Arabidopsis thaliana: one gene and its partner. The protein of the gene in region 1 purifies or fractionates together with the protein of each later gene. This does not show direct contact. Each region holds a gene or a part of one and is shown on either strand. Other genes may lie near its edges.

Region 1 (17,012 bases):
GAAGATGTTTAGCATATCTTATTTTGATTTAGATTGGATTTTTCATCTTATACTTGCAGAAATACTTAGTGACTAAAGCTTTATTTTGGGCTAATAGTATGCACAGTTTATGGTTAATGAATGTAATTCTCTGTCAATCTGGGTGCGTTTGTATGAAGTGACTGGAGTTTTTGGCTTTGTTCACTATGTATGCATTATTATCTTTTACATCAAAGACTTGAAATTCTTTTTCAGGTGAAATCTGTGTACAGTCCTCCAGATGGTATCTCACCAAACACTTGGAGAGATTGCTGGGTAGTTCGTGCACCGGGTGCTGATGGCTGCTCAGGCAGATATGTCGTAGCTGCTTCTGCTGGGAATACCTTAGAATCTGGCTTTTGTTCATGGGATTTCTACACGAAAGACATTAAGGCACTCCACATCGAGGACGGATCTTCAAGAGTTTCAAGAACAGCTCTTGCTCCTCTACCCAATAACACATCACATGGTAGGAACACTCCGGCTTGTGCAGTGGTACCAGAAACTCAACAATGGTGGTACAGACCGTGTGGTCCTCTTATAGCATCAACTGGTAGTTTTCAAAGTATAGTAAAGGTTTTTGACATACGAGATGGGGAACAAATCATGAAATGGGGTGTGCAAAATCCTGTGTCAGCTTTAGATTATTCGAGCCCTTTACAATGGAGGAATCGAGGAAAACTTGTCATAGCCGAAACTGAAGCAATTTCTGTTTGGGATGTCAATTCCCTTCACCCTGAAGCACAGCACACCATTTCCTCTTCAGGGCGAAAAATCTCAGCTTTTCATATCAACAACACAGATGCTGAAGTTGGGGGTGGTGTTCGTCAAAGGTAAAAAAACTTTATTTTACCATTTAGCCTCTTACTATCTCCTCGCTTGGCCTCATAAATTGAATATGTGGAAGCTAAACAATGTGGATACTTTACTCTTTCTCTCTCATTCACTTATAATGTTCTCTTCACATGGAATGCAGAGTAAGTTCCTTGGATGCTGAAGGAAACGACGGAGTATTCTGCACTAGTGATTCAATCAACATCTTAGATTTTCGTAACCCATCTGGCATTGGTGCTAAAATCCCCAAACTCGGTGTTAATGCTCAATGTGTATCATCTCGAGGAGATTCAGTGTTTCTAGGATGTACCAATCAGAAATCAACTGTCAAGAAACAAATGGCTTCTTCTTCTCAGGTGCAGCAATTCTCCATAAGGAAACAGCGTCTCGTGAGCACATACAGTCTGCCTGACTCAAACTCTCACCCGCACCACTCTGCAATAACCCAAGTCTGGGGAAATTCAAATTTTGTCATGGCTACTTCTGGTATGGGACTATTTGTGTTTGATACTGCAAAAGAAGAGACCTTGCAACAACAGCCATTGACAAGTGACTATGGAAGCGTTCAAACAGTAAGAGAGATCATCGGTCCAAACGATATGTATTGCCCGTCATTTGACTACTCAGGTTGTCGTGTACTCCTCATCTCAAGAGACCGCCCGGCTTTATGGAGATACCTCTTATAGGTAAAGCAATAAAATTGTTGAAGAAAGAAGTCTTGAATACAAACTTGTGGCTGATGTTTATAGTTGAATTTCGTTTCTTTCAGGTGAGTAAATCAATCTAAAGATGGTGATCCCACGAGACCTATATTTAGCAAGTGTTAGCACAGCTTGTGCTGCTTTCTCTTGTGTTGTGTTCATACTATTGCTCTTTGTTACCAACTATGATGCTTTTCTGGATTCTCTTTCGTGCTATTTGCTTATTTGACTTTACTCTGTACATACATGTGGTGTTTTGATCAATTTCCTAGGTTTCTTTCTCATTACTCAGATGATTTCTGTGTTATAAAATGGTCCGAAGAAAAAGATATGACAAAGCATATTTGACTAACGAATATATTCCTAATTTAGATATTTCTTAATTTGGCCTAAAGTAAATCCATTCGTTACCCATAATCTAATTTTTTTTTGTTAATACGAAACATGGTTAACTTCTCTTAAATCAAATCTGGATCTTTTAGTCTTGTCAAAATCTTGCTATTGAATCTTCGAGCCATGTCGGATCTTGCTAAAGACGCATGGCGAAAGTATCTGATTCAGCTTCAAGCTCATCCTTTACGAACCAAGGTTTGTTAATTTCGATCAAAGAAGTCTCAGTTTATGAGAATCTTGCGATGATCATGTCGTCGTAATGATATTTTTTCAGGCGATCACTGCAGGGGTTTTAGCTGGATGTAGTGATGCTATAGCTCAGAAGATCTCTGGAGTTAAACGGATTCAGTTCCGGAGATTGCTTCTCCTTATGGTTCGTTCCTTATTTGTCTTATATATGTTTGCAGTTATATACTTTTTTAGTCTGGAGAAAATGTGATGATCTCTTTTGTGCAGTTGTATGGCTTTGCTTATGGAGGACCATTTGGTCACTTTTTCCACAAATTGATGGATACCATTTTCAAAGGGAAGAAGGGTAATTCAACTGTTGCCAAAAAGGTTTTGTCTTTTGAACCAAACTATCATCTTCTTGAATGCTTTTTGAATTCTTGGTTATATAACAAGTCAAACACTTGTTTTCCCAGTTTGTTTGTATCCATCCTTGGAATTGGATTCTAGATTACAACAACTTGTTTAACTTATATTCTGTTAGTTTCCTTGTTGCAATTTGGAATTTGAATGTGCTTAAATTAGTATAATCGTATGATCAATATATGTACAGAGATCTCTTACTGTGTGCTTAAGGATGGATTTTGTGGACCTAACAAAAACTGTGTTGAATCAGGTTTTGTTGGAGCAACTTACATCATCTCCTTGGAACAATTTTCTTTTCATGTCTTACTATGGTTTAGTAGTTGAAGGTAACGACCATGGTCTAGTTCTGAAATGTATTGTTTTGTTTTCTCTTTAGTGATTTGTGATTTGGAGTTTAAGATCTGACATTGTCCTGTAATGTTTTCACAGGAAGGCCATGGAAGCTAGTGAAGCACAAACTTGGAAAAGATTACCCTACTATCCAGTTAACCGCATGGAAGGTAATAAATGAGACTCACTACCATTTCATTTTGTTACACTTTTGGTTGGTTTAAATTTCTAAAACTGTCTATGTAAATAACAGTTCTGGCCTATCGTGGGATGGGTTAATTATCAGTATGTGCCTCTCCAATTCCGTGTTTTGTTCAGCAGCTTCGTCGCCTCTTGCTGGTAAAAGCTCTTACCGTCCTCTCTCATTTTGATATGAAGAGAGTTTTCTGGTAACATCTTTGTCTTTTAATATATTTAGGAGCATATTTCTGAACTTGAAAGCGCGATCTCCGGTGATCAAAAACGCGTAGAGAACTCTATATGGAGGAAACAAGAATGGATCTCTTTTGTTTTTCTTGAAATGTACAAAAGTTTCAAGAATTGAATCTCAAGTAAAATCTGAGAGATGTGATGATTATTGAATAGATCAAACTCTGTAACTGTTTTGTTGTTTCACAGAAACATTGCAGTCTCTCACAATTACGAACACTTTAGCAAAAATGTTTGCTGTAAAAATAGTTAGATAAATACATAATTTTCTCTAAAATTTAGAATATGTATCAAGTACTAAACTCCCACAGTCCCACCTATAAAATTAAAGAACTAGTAGGAAGGAGTGGGACTATCGAATACAATCAGGCTGCTTTTACTTCACTTACTCATATTTGATGTAGATACTTAATTCTAACCATATTTTAGTAGATTTGAGAAACACACATACCAATTTAAATCAATTTCCTGTAACACTTTTATTTATCTACATTTTAAGTATCTATCTATTAGACATTCTTCTTCTTTTGTTTGTCAATATTAGACATTCGTTGTAAACCTAAATAATGTTTCGCTTTACAGAGAACTTTAGATTAAACGTCTACGTACATAGAATCAAACCACCAAACTAAAAAACCAATAATAAACGTTGTCCATTGACGTAGCAAACTATAGTTTATTATTCTGATCATTCTCTCACTTCCATATAACGAGAGTTTCTCAATCAAAAAAAAGAAAAAAAGTTTTTCAAATTTATTGAAATGATGTGCTTCAAAAAAGAACATAACGAAAATGTTATTACTTTATCTAGAAAATGATTTGGAGAAAGTTATATACTTCTGTATTTGACAAAAAAAAAGGTTATATGCTTACTGTACCAAAATGAAAACTTAAAGCTCGTATGGAGTTGTAGTCTTATAGTCTTATAGACTAGAAAATGCGTCGATGAAGTCATGGTAAGAGTGAATATGTGATGGGTAATCTACGAAAACGTAAAGTCATTTACGAGTTGAGGTTAAAACAATCGGGATCAGTTAGTAGTTGGTGTAATTAATTGGCTACTCACTCGCCTTTATAAACGGAGCTGGTCTCGTCTTGGCTTATACAAAAACAAACATAACTTAATACATACAAAAAAAACAAAAGAGATGGGGAGTCTCGTTGTTAACGGAGCTGCTCTCTTGGCTTTGTTGTGGTTCAATGTTTTTGTGGTGAATTATGTGGCTGCAAGAGAAGGTGTGACCTTTGGAAAAGATGAAGAGGAGAAGACCATCATAGGCGGAGGAAAGGGCTTTGGAGGTGGTTTTGGTGGAGGATTTGGCAAAGGAGGTGGAATCGCTGCCGGGGAAGTGGTGGTTTTGGAGGTGCCATTGGTAAAGGTGGAGGCATTTTCGGCCACGGAATAGGCAAAGGCGGTGGTTTTGGAGGTGGCATTAGTAAAGGTGGAGGCTTTGGTGGTGGAATCGGCAAAGGTGGTGGGATTGGAGGCGGCATTGGAAAAGGTAAAGGATGGGGCTTTGGCGGCGGAATAGGCAAAGGTGGTGGTATTGGAGGCGGCATTGGAAAAGGTAAAGGATGGGGCTTTGGTGTTGGCTGGTTTGGACACCACTGAGCTAAATGAGAAGAAGATTGTAGTTGCATTGCATGGATGTCTCACGTAAACAAGTTGGTTAAAGCAACTACTTCTGAATAAATTAAATTAGCTTTCACGTATTTGTAACTTTGAGTTTCACAGCTCAAGATAAGCTTTGTACTGTTGAGTTTCCACTAGTTTCTATCTATAATTATGAGAATTTGGTATCCTAATATCCATCATTACGGATCAAACCCCGTAATCCCAAAAGATATTTTAACAATGTGGCTCTGCCTTGTGCTATCACAGTGTGTGCCTATCTATGTTTGTTTCAATCTCACCCCTCACAAAAGAACCTAGTAGCTCACATACTGATAACACCTTGCCTCTTCGTTCTTCAAGTGATTACCTCAACTCGGAGTAGGAGCAGACCTTGAATTCAACCTCGATGAGTCGTTGCCCCACCTAAGAACTCAAGCAGCCCTTGATAAGTCCTGTACAAACACACGACGCAAAATGATTATGCCTTTTTCTCAAAGCTACCTCTCACTATTTTCTACACCTTCTTCTTAATGGTACCACTAACGTTACCAACTACCTCTACTTTCTACTCAAACCATACATTCAGCAATTTGACTCTCACCTCCATCGAGTTCTGCTCTCACCATCTGCTTTCTTAACAAGTACCCTGAAGCATTATTCCCTGCTTAAGTTATATCCATCAGGGCCAAAACAAAATAACACAATCAAAACAAACAATCCGGCAAGAATACTAGGAAGACAAACATAATACGAAAACAGCAAAGCCTGTAGTTATAATAACTCTGCCAAAACTCAAAAGTACACTCAACCGAAAAATAACTTAATAGAAGTGACTTATTGTAATAGATAGCACATGCTTATAAAGAGATTCAAGCAGTCCAACCCGTTAGGAAGTTGTGGAACCTTTGATTTGAGCTAAATTCTTCTTGACAAGGATCCAGAAACCAGGGCGGTCATAATCCCCTTACACAGTCACTACTGGCCTTGTCGACCCTGACCATCATTGTACCCACCACCATAACCTTGTGACGGGTCAGATCGCCAAGATCCATCACCATAACCACCTCCCATGTAGCCACCACTACCAGGGTTGTTTGAACCGCCACCACTAGGACGCCCTCCAACCACACCATATGCAGCTTGATTTCCATAACCAGAATCACTTCCACTGTACCCTCCATAACCGTAGCCTTGGTTACTATAGCCAGATGGTGACTGCGTAGGAGGAGCTGCACCAGGAACTCCATATCCACTATGAGCAGCACCACTCCCATAGCCTGGGTTCCCATAACCACTAGAAGCTGGAGTGTCCCATGAGTTTCTCGGAGCAACTCCAGTACTACTTCCATAGCCAGCACCTGGAATGTTCGTTGCTCCATATCCAGCAGTAGCACCAGCGCCATAACCTCCAGCAGAACCAGTGTAACCTCCATAGGCACCATACCCGGCACCATTACTACCATTTCCATAGCCAGCGCCATAACCAGAAGAACCATAAGATGGTAAACCATTTCCAACACTTTGATGCTGCAAAAACCTATTGGAATCCATACGTCCATCATAACTGCTTTCATTGCCACCATAACCCTGGTAACCACCAGAGCCACCACCACCCATTGATCGTCCACCACCTCCAGGATTGGCATCTTTAGGAAGAGCACGCTTTACTTCAACTTGTTTACCGCTCAAATCATGGAAAGTCTTGTGCAAAACACTGTCTACCGCATCTTCAGAGTCGAAGGAAACAAATCCAAACCCACGAGGACGGTTGGTAGCCTGGTCATACATGATTGCAACATCAGTCACAGGGCCATAAACTTCAAAGTACTGGCGAAACTCTTCATCAGTCAAAGTAGGTGGCAAGCCTCCAACAAAGATCTTCTTGGTTTTATTGTAAGCATCACCTCCAGAACTTCTAGATGTATTAAGATTCCCAGTTCTTCCAGAGACTTGCTGCTCCTCTCTTGACATGGCTCTCTTCACATCAACCTAAACATTAACCAAAATCAATAAAGCTCATAATAAACTTCCAAGAATCATACTTTACCCAAATCGAGAACATAACGCAACAGAAAATATATACATCTGTTTTTCCTTATCCTAATAAACCAAACCAAGCTCTCTTTTCTAATACTATACTCAATCACTTCATAGAGTGTACGATTAACATATATCGAGTACCCTATAATACCTCTTATACAAGTTAAAACCAATCCTAGAATCTAAGAAACACTAAGGCGAATTTGCCAACCAAACAAAATTCTATATTTACTCTCGTTCTCAATCAACACAGCAAAACGCAAAAAGGATAAAACTTTAACACAATTAGAGAAATGGAGCTATAAGAGAACAATAATAACCTCTCTGGTATCAATGCTGTGTTTCTCTTGAAGAACCCTATCGAGAACAGAAGGATCCGAGAAGATAACGAACCCAAAACCCCTAGGTCGACCTGTGAGCTTGTCTCTCATCACAATAGCCTGAGAAACCTCTCCATAGTTGGTGAAATGTTCTCTCAGCTTATCTTCATCAGTTTCCCATGAAATACCACCGACAAAAAGCTTTCCTTGATCCGAATCCATGAATTTATATTCCACTATCTTACTTCTGACCCAGAATCACAAATCCACCTCAATCTACGAAACCGTGAAAACCGACTGCAGAAACTTCCAGAAATTACGAAAAGGCTTTAGCTTTTCCAATGGCTGTAGCCGATTTGAGAGGAGGAAGAGGAAGAAGACAGCGAACGAATATTTCTATTGGTTTGGTATTGATATTCGCGAAGGTACGAATCTGTCAGCAGATAAATAAATCAACGGTCTAGATCCTTTCTAATATTATTAACGGTTCAGATCTGTTTCCCGTTTTCTTGTAACAGAGATGCTTACTTATGGGCTTAAGTCCAGCCCAATAGAAGTATAAATAATGGGCTACAAAGACCGACGATGGTTTCACTCGTGTGTTTTCTATTCCACACGTGCCAGCAAATCCTACAAGAACGACAAAAAAATCTTTCGTGCTGTGACAATCTCTGTGCCAGATGTGCACTTTGTTGTCGAAAATTCCAAACTCCACATTACAGCTTTATTAGTACTTGTAATAATTAACCTCATATGTTTAAGTTTAATTAATCTCTTAATTACCTCGTATATATTTTAAAATAATTAAAACAATAGCCTATAAACGACAATTAACGTGCACGATCTCCACTAAAAAACCTTAATTGAATTTTTGAGTTTTTTTTCGAAATTTTTTAAGAGACTTTGGTCAATGTCAGCTTTCACTGAAAAAACTTTGGAATTAGTAATAATGATTAATGATTATACATGACAATACCAATTAATTAATTTCCATAATGAAATGTGAAGACGTTAAATGTAAAAAGCGGCAAAAATGTGGGGCTAATTTATAAAGTTTGTTTATATATTTTTAAATATAAAAACAGTTTCAGGCTTCAACAACGAAAAAGCCGTTTTTCTATTACTTTGCTTTATTTTCTTCTCTTTCTCTGTGTTTTTCTTTCTTCGATCTCACTGTCTTTCTTCTGGAACAGCTCGATCTTTTGATTTAGGGTTTTTTTAGTTACATTTCTTGTTCTATCTGAATCTCTTTCGTTGGTTAGGTTTTATTCGATTTTTGACTATTTGTGAGAAATATGGAAGAATGAGAAGAAGAAGAAGGTGATTTGTTTGATTTTTTTCTAATGGAGCAGCTTGTTAACTTCGTCATTCGACCTCCAAGGTGATGATTCTCTCAGAAAATTGAAAAAAATTACTTACTGATTCTGGAATTTAGTTTTCAGTTTCATCTTTCTATTTCTCTTTACTAGGTTGTAGAATTGGGTTTCACACAAAGTTTAGATTTTTAGATTTGAGTTTTGAAATTTTGGTTCTTGTTCTTGAGTTGATTTTGGATTTTTATATAGATGAAGTAATATATACTAGGATTTAGGGTTGCATTTCCTCAAGAAAACCCTGTTCCTCTTTCAAATCCAATTTGTTTTAATTAGTTTGTTTCATCTACGGTTGAATATAACTGGTGTTTTGATGTAGAGCTGAATACAATCCAGAACATGATCTCTTGGAACAAGAGTTCTTGCTTAAAGGGAGATGGTACCAGAGGAAAGATTTAGAGGTAAAGCTTTTTTTCTTCTGTTGTTGTTGTGAACTCCTGACTAGAGAATCCAAGCAAACATGTTGTGATTCAATGTCAATGTAGATTTCATCAGTTGTTCACTGTTGATCAGCGTGAGTTCCTTATTTTCCAGCCTTGGACTGCCTTTAGGATCTCAAGGTTTTAGTTGTGCTTTGTTCACCTAAGACTATAGAAGAACTTATATTGTGACAGGTTAAAAACATCAGAGGAGATATCCTTCAGTGTAGTCATTACATGCCAGTTGAGCGTCCTGAAGATAGGCCTCTACCTTGTGTAATATACTGCCATGGCAACAGGTAATCGTAACTTTTATTTTAATAAAACGTGATTTGAGCTGTACTGGTGAAATAAGCTAGTTAACTCATCCTTCAATCGATGCAATAGCTGGTAGGATACTATGACAACCATGCATTGAAATGAAACAACTGATATGGTTGCCAACATTACTAAAGTTTTCCAATTATCATAATAGCTTAATGTTTCTTTTAGTATACTATTCATTAATGGATTCATTCTTATTCAGTGGATGTAGAGCTGATGCCAGTGAAGCTGCGATCGTATTACTTCCTTCAAACATCACGATTTTCACGCTTGACTTTTCGGGATCCGGTCTCTCTGGCGGGGAGCATGTCACTTTGGGTTGGAACGAAGTATGTCCTCCTTTGATCTTTTCTCAAAATATTCCTCTTCTTCCCTTCAGCTGTTATGGCCTAAACTTATCGTTGTTTGGAGTAAACAAGCTGTCTTAAGTCAATATATCTGCTTCTCGATTGATATTTGTTAGATTGAATGTCTCGTGGTTTATTGGAATTCTATCCCACTATAACCAATACACCTATGATGCTTCATTTGGTCTATGAAGGTATTGTTATCTTTCTGAAGAAAGATTTCCAAATGATTTAGAGTTTTTGATGCTCTATTTCATGGTAGACTTAGGTGCCTTTGAGTGTCCTTGATTAGGTTGTCAATGATTTTTCCTTCCCTCACAGTCGCTGCCTTCATAAGTCATAATCCTGAATTGTGAGAGCAGTCACTTCTTTTATTACTGTTAAACGTGACGTTGGTGGTTGCAGAAAGATGATCTGAAGGCTGTGGTTGAGTATTTGCGCACGGATGGGAATGTCTCCCTGATTGGCTTATGGGGTCGTTCAATGGGTGCTGTCACAAGGTTCCTTTAAGTCTTTCATTTGTTGAACTACTTAATAAGAGCGTTTTCATTTCCAGTGTTGCATGAAACTGTATGGAAGTGTTTACTATAGAACTGAATTTTGTAAGCAATTGAGGATTTACTTATCTTGTGAGCCCCTTTTTCTTTACCAGTGGAGAGGAGAATAGTTGCTAAGAACCGAATGAAATATTCTTTGGTCGGGTTTGTTGTCTATTTAGCTGACTCTCCTGTGTCTAAATGATCTACAACATGGCAAACGTCAACCACTGCAACTTAAAATTTGATTGCTACAATCATTCTCTCTTTCTGCTGAACTATGAAATCATTTCGTTGCTACACTTCTTTTCCAGCTTGATGTACGGAGCAGAGGATCCCTCTATCGCAGCGATGGTTCTAGACAGCCCATTCTCTGATTTGGTTGATTTGATGATGGAGCTTGTAGATACGTATAAGTTCCGACTACCGAAGTTTACTGTAAGTAAAAGTAAATTTGTAGTGTCTGTTTCTTGTGGGATTTGTTCTTCATACTACAAGGTTTCCACATTGAATCTATTATACGACTTTAAGCTCTTTCAATCTCTTTCAGATAAAATTTGCAATACAATATATGCGGAGAGCTGTTCAGAAGAAAGCCAATTTTAACATAACGGATCTCAACACCATTAAGGTCGTTTCCTCTGTTAGTTTTTACTTTTAGTCTAGTTGATTACTTAGATGATTAACTAATCTATTCACTGGAAGGCAACATCATCATTGTTTTTGGTGATCATTTACTTATTTTCCCTCATTATTTGGCATTCATGATTGTTCTTAATGTGTAATTGTATCAAAGTCAATTGGTAGTAGAGATTTTGTTGTGTTTTTATATTAAGTGATGTTTTGTTTCTCGTTTTTTTTTTCAATTTATATCGTTCATTCTGCAGGTAGCGAAATCTTGTTTTGTTCCTGTTTTATTTGGACATGCCGTAGATGATGACTTTATTCAGCCTCATCACTCAGAGCGTATATATGAAGCATACATAGTAAGTTTTCCATATTATACTTTTCTTCCTCTAGCTTCTCATAAGTTCTTGATGAACCCTTGACCATGTAGCCTTTAAACCTCTGGCTTTTGATTATGCCAGGGAGACAAAAATATCATCAAATTCGATGGAGACCACAATTCACCACGGCCACAATTCTACTTTGATTCAATAAACATCTTTTTCCATAACGTTCTTCAACCTCCAGAGGTGGTTGGGCCAACATTTTTTGACCCGGTGGATGACTACTTTGCTAAGGTAATGAATCTTGCAGTATGCATATTTAGTTTTTTTTTGGGGGTTCTTTAGCAAGAAAGGTCAATGATGTTAACTGTTTTATGTTCAGGGCAGTTGGAGCACCATGCAACAACTAAGTTCTCCCCCATCCTCAGCACAGAAAAGTACGTCATTCAACTTCTTCTATGTTTATTCCAAGTTTTGTTGTACCCTTAGGCAACATCTCTTCTAATTGGTTTCAGGTTTAGCTCCAGGTAGCACCTCTGATGCTATAAATGAAGTCCGCTTAAAAAGACCTATGAGTCGCACAGAGGTTGGTGGTCTGTGACTATGCTCTGCAAGTTTTTAATACACATTTTTGAAGTATAATTTTCTCTAACGCTGATTCCCTTGAAATGTGGAATAATCAGTTGTCTCCCTAATGTTTATAATTATAGCTTTTAATTTCGAAACGCATCAAGTGCCAAAAATTAGAAATTCACATCCGATTAATTCCAAAATTTGAATCATGAAACCGTAACTGTTCTTGCATAGATACCAAACTAAAAGAGTTTGCTTCACTTGGTTCTTCAAAGAAACTACCAACAGGTGTATGTGGTACTGTATATGGTTTTTATATCTCCCTATTGATGGTTTTTTGTTACTTCTCTCAGGTTCCTTCCAACGACCCATCTAATCAATCGTCATCAGAAACCAAGGTACATAAACTCAGCATCTCTTTAATTTTTGCATTACTTTGTTTATGGTATGGGCATGGTCAATGGTCATTGACTAAGCTATCTGATTTATGTATATATTATATGATGTATATTCAGTAAACATTTGTAGTGACGCTAGTGGCAGGGTGACCAACTTCTGTACATGTAAAATACTGTCTGAGAAACAAAAATGTAGAGATGGGTAGATTGTTCCTGATGTTGCATGATATGGACTTATTTCAGGAAAAAGAGAGTCTTGAAGTCTCCAGTAGTTCATCTTCTGATATGATCAGTTTTGATTTGTCGAATGGAGATCCATATCCTCCTCATCTCGCAGTAGCTTTAGATGATGATCAATATGTGGAGTTTCACGTAGATGAGCTGGCAGATTTTCCATCAAATGCAGAGGAAGAAGAGAGGGTGAGAGTAAAAAAAGTGGATTTTGCACTTTGAACTCTCCTTATGACCAAGCTCTATAAATTCGTTTATTCACATATCTTCTTGGCCTCAGATGCTGATGGAAGCGGTGATGAAATCGCTGAAGGACATGGAGGTTGAACAAACTCATCAGAAAAAAGAACCTTCCAGGACCAATACAGAGACCAGTGAAGGTAATGCTGCTGCTTCTACTACAGAACCAGAACTGGCACTTTCTGATACAGATTCTGCTTCTGGTCCAACACCATGTAACCATGATGCACGATTATCTTCTGTAGCCAGTGTTCCATCTAAAACATCAGATTCTCTGCCGGGACCTGTAAATGGTTTTGTTCCTGGTGCTTCGCCTAAAACGAGTCAAAACAAAAATGATGTCATTGATTTGTCAGCACGTACAAAGGCAACAGTGACTGTGGTTGGACGTAGTAGCACATCAGGAAACGTTTTAGAGGGGTTATTACGCCGATGGGATCTTAATTTCTTCAAAAGTAGATAATTCCATTAAGTTATGTGTTTTTGTTTGTGCAAAATAGAATGGAAAGTTAAAATGTTTAAAGGTTTGTCATGACAAGTTCTCTTCTGGTTATGGTTTATATGAGTTTATTCATATGCATATATGTTGTGTTTTGGCAAAAATCTCTGTCAAGAGAAGAAATCATCTTTTGTTCCTTCCATGTCTTTTTATCCTCTTGTTATGAACATGTAATGAGATCATCTTACACATATACCATTAATTAATCCCATTCTTATGAACGTATAATGCAATCATCTTACATGTGTTTTGATCATGTTTGTCTTTGTTAAGAATTTTCAGGACTTGTAGGTGTGAAGCAGAGAAAATACTGTGGAAGAAGAAGAAGAGAAAATAGTCCATTTGATAAACTTGTTGAGCAAAGACAATTAGTTCAATACAATTTGGGGTTGAGACAGTCAATGTCTTTAAAATTGTTACATATGAGAACTTTTGTCTACCTCAACAACAGCATTGCTTCTTCAATGAGTTCATTGATAGTTGAACCATGGCGTGCCAAACCGACCGTGCCAGAAAATATATCAAAGTTCTCAAGCTCAGCCGCGGTCTCAAAGACGGTCTCTAATTCATTCTTCATCTCAAGGTTTTGGAAGGTCTTGACAGTCTCAACGTTAGCTTTCATCATCGCAATGGTTAGCTCTATTGCAAACCTCCTGATTCTTGGAACCTTTGGAACTGGCTGTTCATATCTCTTGAGGATATTGATTAATGCCTTGGCTAGTTCTTCCTCGGTTACTCCGGCTTCCTCGAACATCCCTCTCAATTCTTCGGGAGTATTCATTAACTTGAGAATATGTGGTGCTAATCCCACCATAACTTCTTGAGGTTTCCTCTCTTCAGACTTTATTGCCTTAAGAACCTGCATGGAGAAGATAACTAGTGATTCATGATTCTTATCAATTTCGTATGAATCAAGAACATATGAAAGGACTTACTGTTGCTCCTGCAGATTTAATAACTTCCTTCATCTGTTCATTGAACTGACCAGGAGCTGTATATGCACAGAGATTACGCAAGATCCTCGCTGCATTCAACCGAATCAACGGGTTGTCCAACGCTTCAACGAGTCCCTTAAGAACATTTGCTCTCAATATCTTTTGGCAATTGCTTTTACTTCCTTGAGCTAGCATAGCAACAGATTCACCAGCAGAGACTCTCACACCACTTTTGTCCTTTGGAATCTCATTGTTCAAGAATATGCAGAGAAGCCCTTTCAAAACCCCGCCCGTGCCTCCGATTTTCTCGGTTGCACCTTCTTCAAACGCAAGGAAAGTCAAAATCTCTGCACCAAGCTTCTGCAAATGAGGCTGACTCTTTCCATGATGTAATGTTTCCCTAATGTTGCTCACTGTGAAGACAATCCCAGAGATAGTCATCCTCAAGTTCTTCCCTGTTGTGCCTGTCGTGCTCACCAGCTTCTTTAACAGCTTCAAAGACCGTTTCACAGCCAAGATCTTATAAGGCTCTGCAACAGCAACATTTGGATTTTCCAACAAATTCTTCTCAGCATAAGTGAAGTCAATGATCTTTGAAAGTAACCCTTTTGTTTTCCCAATTTTTCCACAGTTCTCATGATCTCGAGCTAGCCTTTTCAGAATCAGCAGTCCAAGATTGTTCAATGTCCATAAATTTGAATGGTTTATACTCTGTTCTCCAATCTCATCAGTGGCTTCACCTGAATCTCTCGTGCTCTCTAAAAGAGAAGATATCGACTCAATCGCTCCCGGGATCCCCGCAACTCTCAGAGAGTTCTGCTTCTTACTAGCTAATCTTGAGAGAATCTCTGCAGCTGACATTCTCACATCTTCTTGATTTTTGTCTCTCCAATTCAACATCTCCACTAACCTTTCTATGATTGCAAGATTTGTCCCAATCTTCTGCAAAGTATCAACCGAATAGTCGTCGTGGGTTGAGAATATCGAAAGAATCTCTGCTCCAATGAGCTGCTCATCAAGAGAATTCGCTACCAAGAGCTCCATGGCAAAGATCACCATATCCATCTTCAATCCGTCGAAGATGCTCCCGTTGAGGCATCTTGAGTAGGCATCATAGAAGAATCTTCTCACCGATCCCGTACCAAATCTCTCAAGACCGCATTCTTCATTCACTTTCTCAAGAATGTGGATAACACTAATCATATATTCCCAGTAAGCTTTCTCAACAAGGAACAGAAGAGCCTCGGCTAGGGCTAGAGAGTAGAAGAGAGTCAAAGCTGCGTGAAGATTGGTGCTTTTGGGTTTCAAGTCGTTGCCTCCATAGTCTTGTTTGATGAGTTGGATCGTGGAGATAAAAATGCTGGCGAAAGCAGAAGCAATCTGGAGCCAATAGAAGATTCTACTCACGTTTCTTGAAACAAAAACCCATCCTGTGTAAGGCAACATAGGAACATCTGAGCTTTTCCATGTCCTTGTCCGCGTGATGTGTCCCGAATTCCTTTGTACGGTTCTCGTTTCTCGAACCGATGGTCTATTGTCGTCTCCGGCAATGTGAGCCACCTGGTGAAATATTTGGTTAATTTGTTTGACAAGGAACCGGAAGATGTTGATTCCAGAGATTGTGTACTTAGACTGATGCTGCAGTTCAAGCTCGTGGCTTCTACTGAAAAGCCTAGCTCCTTCAATAACAAGAATCACAGTAACAAACCAGAAATCTGTTATCTCTAAACTTCCAGCGAATCCACCAAGAAGAACAACCGTGGCCCACACGAAACCTAAAGATCCCAACCCTGAAGCAATCTGTGATTAAGATTTAAGAACACAATTTAAAACTCAAGAAAAGGACTCCTAAATAATGAACTAGAATGTTGGAATCTCAAAAACCTTCTCAAGAACAGCGAGTCTTAAGGCAAAAAGGGTCAGTTTTTTCTCCGGTGCAGGAACTGGCGGCAATTGTGTTGGTCTCCGAGGTTCTGGAGTCGGAGTCTCGTCCGGTCGGAAAATAGTTCTGCCGGAAGAACCGACTTCTACGACCACATCGGTAGGACGGTCAACCATTTGAGTTTGAGACAAACAACAGAGAAACAAATGTTTTGGTTTGGTTTTACGCAGATAATTAATTTGATCGATAAACTTGTTTTATTTATTAGGTTAGTGACATTGTTTTGTTGCACCATGCACGTCTGGAGTTTCGTTCCATTGACTTTTTGAAGAAAAGGCGTCCAAACAACGACAATCTTGGACGCACCATTTTATTCTGATGTCATTAGTTATCAATTACATTATAACATTTCTTAATCTCGTGTATTGTTGTATTTTTCTTGGTAGTTTATAAAGCATTAAACGTTGTTTTAGGATCGATTAGATCGTTACTTGTGATGGTTGAGCTGGACATTCCTTCCAATCACAGAATCCTAATCATATCAGTATATTCCATTTCTTGTTCTCTGAAATAATCGATTGATCAGTAAATGTAACAGTCTACGACATTTAAGTGTCTTAACTTGAAGATTAAAGAGTGTCTTATTTTTGTTTTGGGATAAAACTGCAAAGATTGTGACCCACGTCGATTGCAATCTGCAACTACATGATTGTGACCCATGTTCTGTCATCAATAGATGATTTAGTCAATTTTAAAATTAATCACTATTTGCAACTAAATAAATGTTGATCATGCAATAGCAATATCCTAATGGCTAGTGATCAAGTTATAAATGGTAAATAATGACCCCTTCCCTCTTTTTTTTAATTTTGAAAAAATTATTATTAATTAATCTTTTGAAACTTTAGAACATCTCCAGAGGGTTAAAAACCTTAATAAGATACTACCAATGGAACTGTTCTTATAGTAAAATATGTATTCTTGAGTTAACATGTTACATATTGGAATAATTATCTGATTATACCGTCTCA
Region 2 (14,161 bases), on another chromosome or scaffold:
ATGCATGCTTCCAAAATGTCCTAACTACGTCACTTAAGGTTCCATTTTTTTCTATCTAAACTAAGAAATACTTATGTATCTATTAATCTACATCTAATTGGTTGTCAAAAAAAAATGTATCATAGAAGTCTTTGGAGCACATAAATAAAACATCTGGAGATTTTCTGAACATAATGTGAGGTCAAGAATTTGTGTGCAAAATTACAATTTTCAGGCATGAGTGGCTCTGATTTTGACCATTTGAATAAATTTGTAGCTTGTTATAACCTTTACACTCGTAAGGAAAAAATTATCAAAAAATATTGATAGTCGATAAAATTGAAAACTCTAGATTTATACAAATCAATAAATAAATTTGAAAATAATTAAATGAGAAGTAAATGACATTACTTCACCCAAAAAGAGTCTAGACGAAAAAGACAGACATAAAAATAAGTCCCCTTCTATTTGTTTGGAGCATAAACAAAAACAGACACAGTTTCTTCTCTCTCTCTCTCTGTCTCTTTCCTTTTCTCACGCCGAGATTTCTGCGACTGCTCTAATCTTACGACCTTATAAGAAACGACGCTTATTTTCACTCTGCTTGAGCTCTTCATCGTGTCACACAGCACGATCTTGGACGTCGTTTTAAGCGCAAAACAAAGGAAAAAGACTGACGTTTATACATACTAAATACTGGTTTGGAGTTTTGCCTTTTGGACTCAGAAAACTCAAAAGAGAGAGAGAGACATTTCTGTATCTTATCGGGTTTTGTGTTGTCAGAAAGAAGCTCAAGGACAAAAAAAAAAGCAATTATTTTTAGGGTTCAAACGAAGCAAAATTTGGAACTTTCAGAAGTTGTGGGTGGTGGCTTCTTGAACAATAAAGCTTTTTCTTAGACTCTTCTTCCAATTTGTGACTCTACCTATCTCTCTCTCCGTAAGCTCTTTCTCTCTCTCTTTATTCGTTCTTTCTTTATTTGCTCTGTTTCTTTACTCCATTTTTGGCTTAATTACACCAAATTTAGTCTGCTAAAAGCTAATTTCAAGCATAATTACTTATCTCTCCTCTTCTTGTTGCTAACCTTCAGTTGGATTAGGTTTTGATTTCGTTTATACGACAATCCCCGTGACTGAAAAAGTTACCAACTTTGATAGATATCGTTACCAGATTCTACTCATAGTTTTGTTATTGTAATGCAAGAAGTTGAGTTCTTGTTTACATTAACTTCAATAATTCACTGAGAGTGACTTTTTGTTCTCCTCTGATCCGTGGAGGATTCTCTATATGTGTTTTGTTTTTTGGGGGGGTTTTCTCCTGTTTTTAGGGACTCTATTGATTCATGCATATATGATGTTATTCTCTGTTTATGAGTTTATGCAAATAATCTAAGCAAGGTATGATAACATATTTAATCTTTTTGTTTGAGCTTATAATTGTGCTTAGAAATCTTAAAATAATGCTTAAGCTGATGTGAACTTGAGGCCTAGCCTCTGACCACAAATCCTAGCCTACTTCGTTGACCATACCTTTGTCTTGGCTTAATATTCTAAATTTCTCTTCCAAATCCTGTCTCCCAATGCATTGGTTGGTCCAAAACAAGATCATCATTTCATAGATCTTGTAATCTTTCTGGTCTGTAATTTGCTCTAGGATGGTAACCTTGTACCCTATGTAACATGTCTTGTTAGTATAAATTTTGGGTCATGTTGTGTTGATGACTCTTTAGCGCATTTCTTATTGACAAAAGGTATGGAATTCTCTAGAGACGCTGGAATGATGATGGAGAATAAGCGGAATGTCTGCTCTCTCGGAGAAAGCAGTATCAAACGCCACAAGTCTGATCTCTCTTTCAGTTCCAAGGTTTTGCTTATCCTAGCTAGTTTTCATGGATTTCTCGGTCGAAATAGTCTTCGGTACAACAAATTGCATGGTAATGATCCGTCCATCTTTGTTCTCTTAATGGCAAACAGGAGAGGAAGGACAAGGTTGGAGAACGTATTTCAGCTCTTCAACAAATAGTTTCCCCTTATGGAAAGGTAACTTTGTTTTTTTTGGCAAGCAAATCAAAAGAATCTGTCTCTCAGCTCATACTTTTCTCTAATGTTCACAGACCGACACTGCATCAGTTCTTCTAGACGCGATGCATTACATAGAGTTTCTTCACGAACAAGTGAAGGTCTGCAGTTCAATACCAAGCATGATTCATTCATCTTTATCTGAGTTCCCATGTTCTTTTGTACAGGTGCTAAGTGCTCCGTATCTGCAAACGGTACCTGATGCTACGCAGGTGAGTATGATCTTGAATCTCAACTTCATTTATACTTAGTTCACTAGTTCTACTCTGCATCTGACAGATCTTCACTTGGAACTTGAATACCTTGCACGGACTGATTTTCCCGTCTTTTGTAACCAGGAGGAGCTGGAGCAGTACAGCCTGAGAAACAGAGGATTATGTCTTGTTCCAATGGAGAATACAGTTGGAGTTGCTCAAAGCAACGGCGCTGATATATGGGCGCCCGTGAAGACTCCTCTATCACCAGCTTTCAGTGTCACATCTCAATCACCCTTTAGATGACCAATTCGACTAATCACCTACTACGATCTTTGTGTTAAGCCTAAAAAAGAATGACCAATTGTTATTTTTCTGATGATGCCTCTGTAACATATATAGACAGAGAGCACATGATGTTGGTTTAGAACAGCTCATGGTTGGCAATGATTGTTATTATTATTCGACTGCTTAATGCATCCCCTTACTTTGGACTTGTGTAATATGCCCAAACAGGAACCAAATGATTTTAATGCAAAGTAATCTTTATCCCAAAAAATGCCTCAGATATCTTAAGCTTTTCTTTGTGTGATTCTTACCTACAGCATCCAATACATTATTCTAGATCTAAAGACCCAAGGCAAGCTTTCTTTCAGTGCTGAAGGTATGATCGTGGATTTCCCTAATACATATAGCTTTCTTTCAGTGCTTGTAATAGTGCCAAACTGCTGACCACAGAATTAAGATTATCCTTTCATAAGAACATTGGATTAAATACATTACCACTGAGAATTGCAAAGGTTCAGAACATACAGACTGTTGATACCAAGGGACCAAATAGCTTGGACAAAGATAAGATAAGTCGGTCATAATGTGTTTTTAACTACTAGATTGCAATGCTTTGGCATATGTAAATGTGACAGGGAGGATCATCCTCTTCAGCTCTACATGGGATAAAACTAACTTGCTGCAGTAGGCTTGACCTTCTCTCGCATATACTGCAGTAGATGTTCGCGTTTCCAGTTGTCGATTCTGCAAAACAAGCAAATCAAGAAACAAAGAGGTCAGCTACAACCTTGGAGGAATGAAGTTGTGTTGCTGATAGAGGATGAGGTGTTAAAGACATCACTTATTCATGCTCACAACGAGAAAATCCTTTCAAAAACCAATTTAAACTAGAGGTCTAAGTAAATGATACAGCAGAATGTAACAGAGCAACGAGAGAGTGAGAATAGAAACTGCTGCAGATCCATGGATAGTTATATTTTTATCTACCAAGCTAACATGGATATATCAGGTCACCTTGAACGTCTTAAATCAGGTCAACTCGTTCCCCCACCCAAACTCTAATACTAAAGATTCTAGCAAGGAGTTGAGCAAAGGGGGTTATAAAGCAACTTACCTAATTGATTCCTTATGTTCACCGTCTTCGTCGAGCATGATCAACTTGGGTGGTGAGTTGAAAATGTACTGAACTTTGACGCTAGGGAACTTTTCTTTCTCTTCTTCAATGAAACCAACAATTTCAGGATAGAAAACCAACTTCCTCATACACACCTCTAATATAGCGCCAGAATAGGTAACCTGCAATGGCAAAAAAATGTAAACTTCTCTTCATTCATATCCATGTTATAGGAGATGTTTCTGTATTCATCTAATCTATTCCCATTAAAATTCAAAAGCACTACAAATTACATGCCTAGTGATCGTACCTTGCTCATGGAATCCTCAGAATCATCAGCACAACATTTCAAGCAATCAGATACCAACTCTGCAAACAAGATCAATCAATATAAGATAACCAATTTAGTAATTCCACTCCTCAAAACCAACTTTAGAGAGAATGATCTAGCTCATAAAATACACAAAAACTAAAATATAGAATCTTTTGGGGGAAAAAAAGCAAAACTGCAGTAATTGAGATCAAATAAAGCACGCATAGAAAGGCACGAACCTTGGTCCTTAACGTATTCAGAGAGTGAGTGGCAATCGGAGCAGAGTGCAAGACCGCTAAACCCTAGATCCTCACATTCTTTAGTGCTGAGCTGCTCTTTTGCTGAGATCGTCGATGCCAATATCAAAATCATCATCGCTGATAAAACAACCATCTTCGCCATCTCTCTCTGTTTCATCAACAGATCAAAGTCTTCGCAGATCCGACGCTACTCTAACTAATGTCGCTGCCTTGCTATGATCCGATCCGGTCAATTCCGGTTTTTTAAGTATCCGAAAAAGCAATCTTGGTATAGAGGAAACCATCTCCGGTTATAAATAAAAAAGTCTTAACCGACGTGAAAAGTGTTAAAACCCCAATTCACATTAGCCTGTTGCGATCTAAAACCTCTAAAACCCTAGAATCAAAATCGCCCATTCGAGATCGAGAGAGACGATGGATCACATAGCGGCAGCGGAGGAGCAAATTGTAACGGAGAGGATTAGAAGAAAACTTGAAGAAGTTAATGCAACTGCTCAATCGCAACTCTCTCCTATTCAAGATCACATCAATTTCACCCTTCAGGTATATTAACAATCATATACCTTTTTGTAGCATTCCTGATCCTCCTACTCATAGGTGTATGTTATTTGTGTGCTCGTGTTGATTTTGATTCGGGTGACCAATTTACCAATTCTGAAAAAGCCGAAATTTTCCTTCAACTTGTAATCGCAACAAAAGAGAAAAACTTGTCCTTTTGTTCCATATATTGTCCAATTCAAGGCATTAATCTGTTCTAGTTAAGTTCACTTGTGGACTTGTGGTATATCTCTTTTATAATGGGTTTTAACTAAGTTTTCTGAGCTAATTTTTGCTGCCCTTTGATACAATCTGTCTAGTTAATAACATGAAAGTTTGTAGTCATGTTAAGTTCCTGGAAGCTGTGTCTTGTTGTAGTCATGTTAAGTAGTTCCTGGAAACTTAAACTTGACAGTTTTCATTATATCTCTACAGCTATATTAGTATAACTCAAGTTGTATGAAAGCGTATTGTTTTCATATTTATTTGTTAAGTTGATGAATCAAACCCGGAAAATTGATCAATTGCAGCAAGCCTATTTCAAATGTGCATACGAGTGCTTTGACAGAAATAGGAAGCAAGAGGAGATAGCCAACTGTGTTGAGCACTGCAGTGTTCCAGTTGTCAATGCTCAACAGCATTTCGAAGGCGAAATGTCTCAGTTTCAGGTATAATATAATTTCAACTCACAAAAAATGCATAATTTTACAATGGACTGAGAAACTTGCAATTGTAATTATGATGCAGGAAAGGATGAACAGATCTCTCATGGTCTGTCAAGACAAATTTGAGGCTGCAAAGCTCCATAAGAACAGGGGAGATGCCGCCAAAGCTATGGAGAGTTGTGTGAACACATCCATTGAGGATAGTCTCGATACATTGCCTCATATTGTGCAGAGAATGAAGACGTCATTCTCCATTGCCGACTAATAATAATCCTCTGTTGGGAAAAAGGGGCATCTTTACTTTTGTCTCTTGCTAATCATATTCATGCCCTTTCACTATGACTCAATAGATAAACACAATGGATGGTAGGAGTTGTGTAGTGGTAAAGTATATCAGACCATAACTTTATATAAGATTATGAGGATCTTGAACAACAAGCTTTTCACAGTATGTGGTATGAGGAAAAACAAATCACCAGATCTGTATTCAACTGAAAGATCTTAAAACCAATGTGTTTCGAAGAGGAAGAATAGGTAAAGCAAACCTTGTAGTTGTAGTTGTACTTTCTTTAAAGCTGAGGAGCTAATTGCAGGAACCAAAACGTCAGTCATAAATAATTTTGAATCGAACCAAACCCCATCCGAGTTTATTCGGTTTCAGTTTATCCTGAAGGGGTGTTTTTTGTCTTGTCGGTCGGAGAACCTCGCCTATATAAATAAATGCTTCCAATTTGAAGAGCAGCTAAACCCTAACCCTAAAATCTCCAGAGAGAGAGACGATGGATCGCATGGCAGTTGCGGAAGAGCAAATCCTATTGGAGAGGGTTAGGAGAAAAATCGAAGAAGTAAATGCATCTGGTCAGTCGCAGCTCTCTCCTATTCAAGAACATATCAGTTTCACCCTTCTGGTATATATATATATATATATATATATATATTTCTACAATCATTTAGTACAAGTATTGCTATATCTTTTAACAAACTAGGGCAGAAAAGTTAATTAGTTTTACTTTTGAGTTTCGCTAAAGATTTATGCACCTTTGATTGATGATGAATTGCAGCAAGCTTATTTCAAATGCTCAAACGAGTGCTTTGAGAAAAGAAGAAAGCCAGAAGTGACAACTAACTGTGTTGAGCTCTGTCGTGTTCCCGTTGCTAAATCTCAACAGCAATTCGATAGCGATATGGCCAAGTTTCAGGTACAAAAATAGTCCTTAACTGATCCCATTAAGCTTTTGCCATGTACTGAGAAACTTGCATTTGGTTAACTAATGCAGGATAGGATGAACAGATCTCTCATGGTATGTCAAGACAAATTCGAGGCTGCAAAGCTACTGAATATGAACAGGATTGATGCCGCCAAAGATATGGAGGGTTGCGTAAACGATGCAGCTGCAGCATTACTTGGCGGCTAAGCAACCAACGGTGTTTATTAGGGCTTTTAAAAGTTTTTTTGTATTTCTATACAGTTGATTTGGATTTACTTGTGCTGAGATAGACTATCGTTTAATTAAAATCTTAAAACCGGATCAAACCGGATTCTATTTTACCCGGTCTTATGTCCAAAGTCGGGTTTAGTTAGAGATAAAAGGAAAAAATCAATTTTAAAAAGTCACCATCTCAATCGAATGGGTCTCCTTCCCGTCGTCGGAATTACTTCGCCGGCGCTCATCACCCACAAAAATCACGCCAATCCAAAGATACAGAGACATAATCAATCTACCTCCGAGACCACTGTTTCATGGACTTCTCGCATCAATCTCCTCACGCGCAATGGTCGATTAGCGGAGGCAGCGAAGGAATTCTCCGATATGACACTCGCCGGCGTAGAGCCTAACCACATCACTTTCATAGCTCTACTCTCCGGGTGTGGTGATTTTACCTCCGGAAGTGAAGCCTTGGGCGATTTGCTTCATGGGTATGCTTGTAAACTTGGTCTTGATAGAAACCATGTCATGGTTGGCACCGCAATTATCGGCATGTACTCCAAACGCGGCCGTTTTAAGAAGGCTAGATTGGTTTTTGATTACATGGAAGATAAAAATTCGGTTACTTGGAATACAATGATCGATGGGTACATGAGAAGTGGTCAAGTCGATAACGCTGCTAAGATGTTCGACAAAATGCCTGAACGAGACTTGATTTCTTGGACGGCTATGATAAATGGCTTTGTTAAGAAAGGTTATCAAGAGGAAGCTTTGTTATGGTTCCGTGAAATGCAGATTTCTGGAGTAAAACCAGATTACGTTGCTATTATTGCTGCTCTTAACGCTTGCACAAACCTTGGTGCTCTCTCATTTGGATTATGGGTACATCGTTATGTTTTGAGTCAGGATTTCAAGAACAATGTGAGGGTGAGTAATTCACTGATCGATTTGTATTGTCGATGCGGGTGTGTGGAGTTTGCTCGACAAGTTTTTTACAACATGGAGAAACGAACCGTAGTTTCGTGGAATTCAGTCATTGTTGGTTTTGCTGCTAATGGAAATGCACATGAATCATTAGTCTACTTCAGGAAAATGCAAGAGAAAGGCTTTAAACCTGACGCAGTCACTTTCACTGGGGCGCTTACCGCGTGTAGCCATGTAGGTCTAGTTGAAGAAGGTCTTCGATATTTTCAAATTATGAAATGTGATTACAGAATCTCGCCTCGAATTGAGCATTATGGATGCTTAGTGGATTTGTATAGTCGGGCTGGGAGATTGGAAGACGCTTTGAAGTTGGTGCAGAGCATGCCAATGAAGCCAAATGAAGTTGTGATTGGATCGTTGCTTGCAGCTTGCAGCAATCATGGGAACAATATCGTCTTAGCAGAGAGGCTGATGAAGCATCTTACCGACCTGAATGTGAAAAGCCATTCAAATTATGTGATTCTCTCGAATATGTATGCTGCTGATGGAAAATGGGAAGGAGCAAGTAAGATGAGAAGGAAGATGAAGGGTCTCGGTCTAAAAAAGCAGCCTGGGTTTAGTTCGATAGAGATTGATGATTGCATGCATGTGTTCATGGCCGGTGACAATGCCCATGTTGAGACCACTTATATCCGCGAGGTCCTGGAGCTTATTTCTTCTGATTTGCGATTACAGGGCTGTGTAGTTGAAACCCTTGCTGGTGATCTCCTCAATGCTTGAAATCCAGGAACCTCCACATCCCATTTTTTGTTCAAGTCCTGAGCGTGAGCATTTGCTCAAATTGGTTGACCGCAAAGAAGCCTTACAGTGGTCTTAGTCTTAGAGTCTTAGAGATGCTGAACGCTAGAATATACCTCATTACATAACCATTGTCGCTTCCTCCAACCTTTTTGCCAGGCCCTACCAATAAAGATCTGGGTGTATATCGCTATTTAAACCTGCTGAATAGAGGCCACACAAGGATATGGTGCTCCCGTGTTTTGTAAGCTTCGAATCCAAGCTATGTGGCCTTGGCGGCCGTCTCCTCGTGCTAATAAGGTAACCTGAATCTATGTGCATTCTTCTGTGTCTTGTCATGTTATGTTGATGTTATTGCTGGTTACTGTCAAGTTAGTAAACAGTTCAATAACTCCCACATTTTGCAACACTTTGGTGTTCTGTTTGCGTGGATTTTGTGATACCTTGGGGCATTTTCTAGCATTTGTTTACCTAGCAGTGATCATAGCACAGGATTGATTCAGCGAAATGCATAGGCAGTACAACATCTATAAGACCTGCTAGCTTGAGTGTAATTATTCCCAACAATATCCTTGTTAATGCATTTTTCGAAGATAGTGAGTTCTGTTCTAGGTACATCTGGTATTGTTAATGTTGTATCATAAAGGTTAAAGTATTTTGACGATTATATGTTACACATATCAGTTTATTCATAGAAGAATTTTCATAATTAAGAATGTACAATCAGCAGAATAGAGTCGTATACAAACACTTTCAGCCCAGTACAATTTTTGACTCTGTTTCCTCTGCATTGCCCGTATCTATTTTGGGTAGAACTGTTTTTGGGCGGAGATAAACACCAATGTACTGTAGTCCCGAGGCATCATAAGTCCCATGGAAACCGCCGAACTGAGGAGATTTCCCGAGTTTAAAAGCAAATTTGTCGTTGCTCGAACCGGAGGTGCCAAAAGGACCGTACTCGCTAGTGTTGGTATTGAATTTGAGAGACCTCATGTGAGGATTGTTGGCTTCATACTTGTAATACTCTCCACTGATTCCAGTTATGTACTCATGCGGATAGTTGAGCTCTATCTGCTGGGTCCAAATCACATATTAAGTTATAAAAAAAAAGTTATAACCATGTTCTTAGCATTTTAGTTGGAAGTAGAAATTGTGACGGAGAAAAAAGAAGAGTCAAAAATCAGACTTACAACGTCAAACATGTTGCCGGAAAATGGACCGTGACGATCGGATAAAACGAGTTTTCCGTCCATCACGAACTGGAATTGGATAGACATAATTCCAGCGACGCCATGAGATAGAAAAATCTGAGAGATGAAGCCATCGTGAGATCCTTCGTCCCAGTTTACAATTGTAGTGCTTCTAGCATCATGCTTCCCTACAGGTCCTATCTTCATTTTCCCTTTCTTTTTTTTTGTACGACCAAAACTCAAAAGCTCTTTTGTTTGGTTACATAACGAAAATAGCATAACATTAATATATATACATGTAGAGATTCAAAGTTCTCTAACTCTGAAGTCTCAGATTGGAATATGCCTATCCAATTTGATATTAGTAATTCATCTTACGATTCATTGTTTTATTGCATTTATCTTTGCTTCTTCTCTCCATTACCCAATTTGTTTTAATGAAATGACTAATAGATTTGTTACTAGAGATTCTTTAAGATAATGTTCTTATTTTGACGCCTCAGATTGGAATATTCGTTTACAATCTTGCATAGCTTCATCTAGCAAATTATTTCCTTTCTTTCATTTGCTTTGACAAAGAGTCGAATTTTGAAAGAATGTATTGTCGGATGAAAATTATGTAATGCAATGATTATCTTAGTCTGTTAAAACGATTTACTACGTTGGTCGAGACATAAGTATAGTTTTTTCTAATGTCATTACAATTTCAATTGTATTTGGCTGTTTTTAAAGACAAAAATATTCAAGTTTTATACACATATTTAGACTATATGTATTTAACTCAAAATAGGGTTTTATTTGCACGCCTCAGTAGTCATGATTAATAAGTTATTTATATACATAAATCTTGCAGGATAATATGTATTTATTTGAATGTCTCATATTAGAATTATTTCAAAGAAAAAGGATTCTAGTAATTATTAAAAAAACTTGGTGCGGAGGATTCTAGTAATTTTTGATTAATACATTTAAGAGAATTTTAAATTAGCAAAATGTTTTTCCGGATGGAGGTTATCCCAAAAACATCTTCTGATAGAAAAATAAATCTGTGAGATGTCGTTGTTGAGACTTGAGAGTTGAGACCATATGGTCCCTATATTGAGGATTAATTGTGTTTGTGGGAAAATATATTCCCTGCTGGGCAACGAGGAATATGGTTGAACCAATGATTATTTATATGCTTAATGCATGTGTATATATTTACAGACGCATCACACACACGTAAAGTAATTTTATTCATACAAAGTTCGAAAGATATTGATATAAACGCATGTAGAGGCTGAAGAAGGTTTAAGATTAATACACAATTTCATTTAACCCAAAACAATGTTTGACTCAGTTTCCTCTGCATTGCGTGTACCGGTAGGTTTAACAATTGTTGGTTGGAGATAAACACCGATATTTTGTAGTCCCGAGGCATTATATGTCCCATAGAAACCGCTGAACTGGCGAAATTTCCCTAGTTTGAATCTGAACTGTTGTTCGTGATTCCAAATCGAAGACTGAGAGCTCGAGCCGCCAAAAGGACCGTACTGATTAAGGTTGGTAGCAAATGCAAGAGACCTTATCTGAGGGCCGCTAGCGCCATCGGACTTGAGATACTCTCCACTAATTCCTGTTATGTACTCATGTGGGCAGTTCAAAAGTATCTGCATAGCCCAAAATCCACATTTTAATTTATATTAACCATGTTCGTGAGATCAATATATATAATTAAGTACATTAAGTTGTTGTTAGTAAATTTCGAATCTAGTGATTCGTGTACTAATGAAGAAAAACAAAAACAGAACACACTCACAACGTCAAACATGCTGCCAGTATTCTGACCGTGGCAGGAGGATAAGAAAAATGTATCGTCGAGCATGAACTGGAACTGGATAGAGAAAACACCGGTGGGACCATGAGATAGAAATATTTGAGAGATGATTCCATTGTGACTTCCTTCATCCCAATCGACCATTGTTTTCTTACCTGAATAATCCGTTCCCACTGGTCCTATCTTGATTTTCCCTTCCATTTTCTTCTTTATGTGTTTTTTTTGTTCCCTCTTACTTTAAGGATAATGCAAGAGTTAATTTCTTATAAGTCGGTGTTTTTAGGATAATCTTGTTACATGATGAGATATTCCAATCTTGCATAACTTGTAAACAATATATATTCCTTACCTTTATTCCATGTCTATCTATTTAATAAGTCATAAATTGAAACATATCAAATAATCAAACCGTCAAAATTAATTGTAGTACAAAAAAAACCGTTAAAATTAAACAAAAACCGTCAAAATAATCTTAGTAAAAAAATACCGTCAAGATTAATGTTTGTACCGTCCCACGAATCGGCTTATACCGCTCTTACAAGCAATCTTATTTAACCCGCCGAGTCTAAGACCGAGAGTGCACTCGCTAGATCCAACGCCGGACTCAATCCATCCCTTAACCCTGAGCAAGATCTGTGTCTCTCGATTCCTGATTTCATCTAAAATCAATGGGCTCTCGATTTCTGTAAACTTCAATTCGGTGGTTTTGCCATGGCTGGAGTTATGCACAAGTTCCTTATTGCGTCAATGTTCATGTGGATTCTTCCTGTTGCCATATTATACGGATTCAACCACAATTTGCTTCCTGGTAATTAATCTCCTTGTTTTATTGCGATCCTCTCCAATTTTCTTTTGGTTGAGTTTTATCTTCTAGTTATGCTGATGCAATTTCGAGTTGGATTCATTCCAATATTGTTGTGTATGAAGTTCACAAATGTGCAACTTTTCATATTTTGTTATCTACTATTTAGCTTTATAGTTGGATTGTAAAACAATTGAGCTAAATTTCGCATCTTAGCTTTAGCTTCATCGCTTCTTAGGAGTGAAAAGCCTAATGAGAATATGGATGTTTTCTATGAGTTTGTAAAGATCTCTCTGGTGATCATGATAAGTATCTCTCTGGCTCTTCATCTTCTTGATCTTTGACTCTTCCTCGAAGCTGTCCTTGGCGCACTTTCTTTGATTTAGAAGGCAACAACTGTCAATTCCCTAAATCTTTCTTGACAAATCATAACAACTTTGGTTAAAAGGTTTCGAAAACTCAACCTCTTCTTCAGTCTCTCTCTTTCCAAAAGGGAAAGACTGAAGTAGAGATTGGGTTTCCGATACCTTTTGGCCCATGTCGTTATGATTTGTCGAGGAAGGTTTGAGAAATTGAAAGAAGATGCGCTAGGACAACTTGAAGGAAGGGTCAAAGATGAAGAAGATGAAAAGCCAGAAAGATCCTTATCATTATAGCTAGAGAGATCTTCACAAACTCATAAAAATCATATATATTCTTACTAGGGTTTCCACTCCTAATGAGTGAAGTCAATGATGCCTTGAAGCAAAACAACTTCATCTTCTTCGCTGGAGATCATAAACTACACAAATTCTTGAAATCTTTGGCTTCTACGTACACTCTTTTATGTAGAACTTTTCTCATGAAAGCAGTTTAATAGTTCCTTTTACTTGGCTATGGTGGTAGTTTTAGAAATTTTCTCTATTGTACAACTTTTTGAAACTGTACTCTCTTAGAATTGTCATATCAATATAGCTTTTTGATGATCTTCACATTCATCCAATGCTCGTTGTTCCTTTGGCGTTGTCTGTCCCACATAAGTTTTATGTATTACTTGCTCAGCTCGTTAATGTGATAAGCTGACCTCAATACTCACTATCAGTGTTTTGAGCTTGATCTTTAACAGGTTCAACGACATTGTCTCCTCATTCTCTAATTCTCTTGAGCGGATTTCTTGCGGTGGTATCAGTGAACACAGTGATCGTGTTCTACATCTGTATGGCCATGAAAGAACCTGCAGATAAACACAAACCAGACGCTGCATTTCTCGCTGAGGCCAAAGATAGTGTGAACAAATTGACAAAAGGAGCCACAAGCAGTGATGATCATGCACTCAAAAAACAAGAGTGAGAGCTTTCTTAATCCAATTATGAAATGAAGAACAACATCTGGGTTGGATCGAATGGAGCAGACCTCGGGTTATCGAAATAGATTATTACAGGATTCTGTGAAAATTGAGGTTTAGGGTTGGTTAAACAAAGTAGCAGAAAAACATGTCGTGTATGATGAACAGAGAACTAATGTTATAACACAAAACTACGAACACTCTTGGAAGGATTAGACATTTGCCAGTTATTTCTTTCCTCAATACGTAATTGGTGTAATGAATTATTCCACAAACGAAGAAAAATTGACATAAGAACAAAAACAAAACACAAAAACTTGTATAAAATTTGTAGGAATTTTTTTTATAAAAATAATTTGAAAATTCAAAGCAATTTTTTTCTGATAAAAAACTAAAGTACTAAATTTACGTATGATAAAACAAATTGAACTATCAAATGACGCTACCCAAAT

What was found.
Region 2: the proteins of AT4G14300 (region 1) and AT1G05740 fractionate together in Arabidopsis thaliana (co-fractionation; one large-scale study listed by BioGRID). This does not show direct contact.

Annotation. Positions count from the first base shown.
Region 1 is NC_003075.7:8,221,663-8,238,674, reverse strand, and holds AT4G14300 (RNA-binding (RRM/RBD/RNP motifs) family protein), read right to left. Parts: upstream 7,674-17,012; 5' UTR 7,497-7,673; coding exon 7,275-7,496; intron 6,904-7,274; coding exon 5,890-6,903; 3' UTR 5,516-5,889; intron 5,367-5,515; 3' UTR 4,912-5,366; coding exon of another isoform or gene 4,664-4,911; 3' UTR 4,599-4,663; coding exon of another isoform or gene 4,448-4,598; 3' UTR 4,394-4,447; downstream 1-4,393. Other genes in the region: AT4G14310 (Transducin/WD40 repeat-like superfamily protein), read left to right, coding at 107-187, 235-851, 995-1,538; AT4G14305 (Peroxisomal membrane 22 kDa (Mpv17/PMP22) family protein), read left to right, coding at 2,070-2,141, 2,221-2,319, 2,403-2,504, 2,791-2,866, 2,970-3,040, 3,124-3,209, 3,289-3,340; AT4G14301 (uncharacterized protein), read left to right, coding at 4,448-4,598, 4,664-4,911; AT4G14290 (alpha/beta-Hydrolases superfamily protein), read left to right, coding at 8,618-8,655, 8,967-9,048, 9,262-9,365, 9,593-9,719, 10,143-10,237, 10,588-10,711, 10,824-10,904, 11,161-11,259 and 6 more; AT4G14280 (ARM repeat superfamily protein), read right to left, coding at 13,601-14,023, 14,100-15,899, 15,984-16,157. UniProt on the Arabidopsis thaliana protein: Involved with pre-mRNA processing. Forms complexes (ribonucleosomes) with at least 20 other different hnRNP and heterogeneous nuclear RNA in the nucleus.
Region 2 is NC_003070.9:1,714,467-1,728,627, forward strand, and holds AT1G05740 (FAM136A-like protein (DUF842)), read left to right. Parts: upstream 1-6,126; 5' UTR 6,127-6,207; coding exon 6,208-6,336; intron 6,337-6,456; coding exon 6,457-6,627; intron 6,628-6,705; coding exon 6,706-6,843; downstream 6,844-14,161. Other genes in the region: AT1G05710 (basic helix-loop-helix (bHLH) DNA-binding superfamily protein), read left to right, coding at 1,732-1,842, 1,953-2,018, 2,093-2,269, 2,396-2,557; AT1G05720 (selenoprotein family protein), read right to left, coding at 3,211-3,283, 3,654-3,835, 3,964-4,022, 4,206-4,383; AT1G05730 (FAM136A-like protein (DUF842)), read left to right, coding at 4,641-4,769, 5,294-5,431, 5,511-5,693; PDE247 (Tetratricopeptide repeat (TPR)-like superfamily protein), read left to right, coding at 7,057-8,559; RTM1 (Mannose-binding lectin superfamily protein), read right to left, coding at 9,331-9,648, 9,768-10,046; AT1G05770 (Mannose-binding lectin superfamily protein), read right to left, coding at 11,081-11,416, 11,566-11,784; AT1G05780 (Vacuolar ATPase assembly integral membrane protein VMA21-like domain-containing protein), read left to right, coding at 12,295-12,391, 13,491-13,714.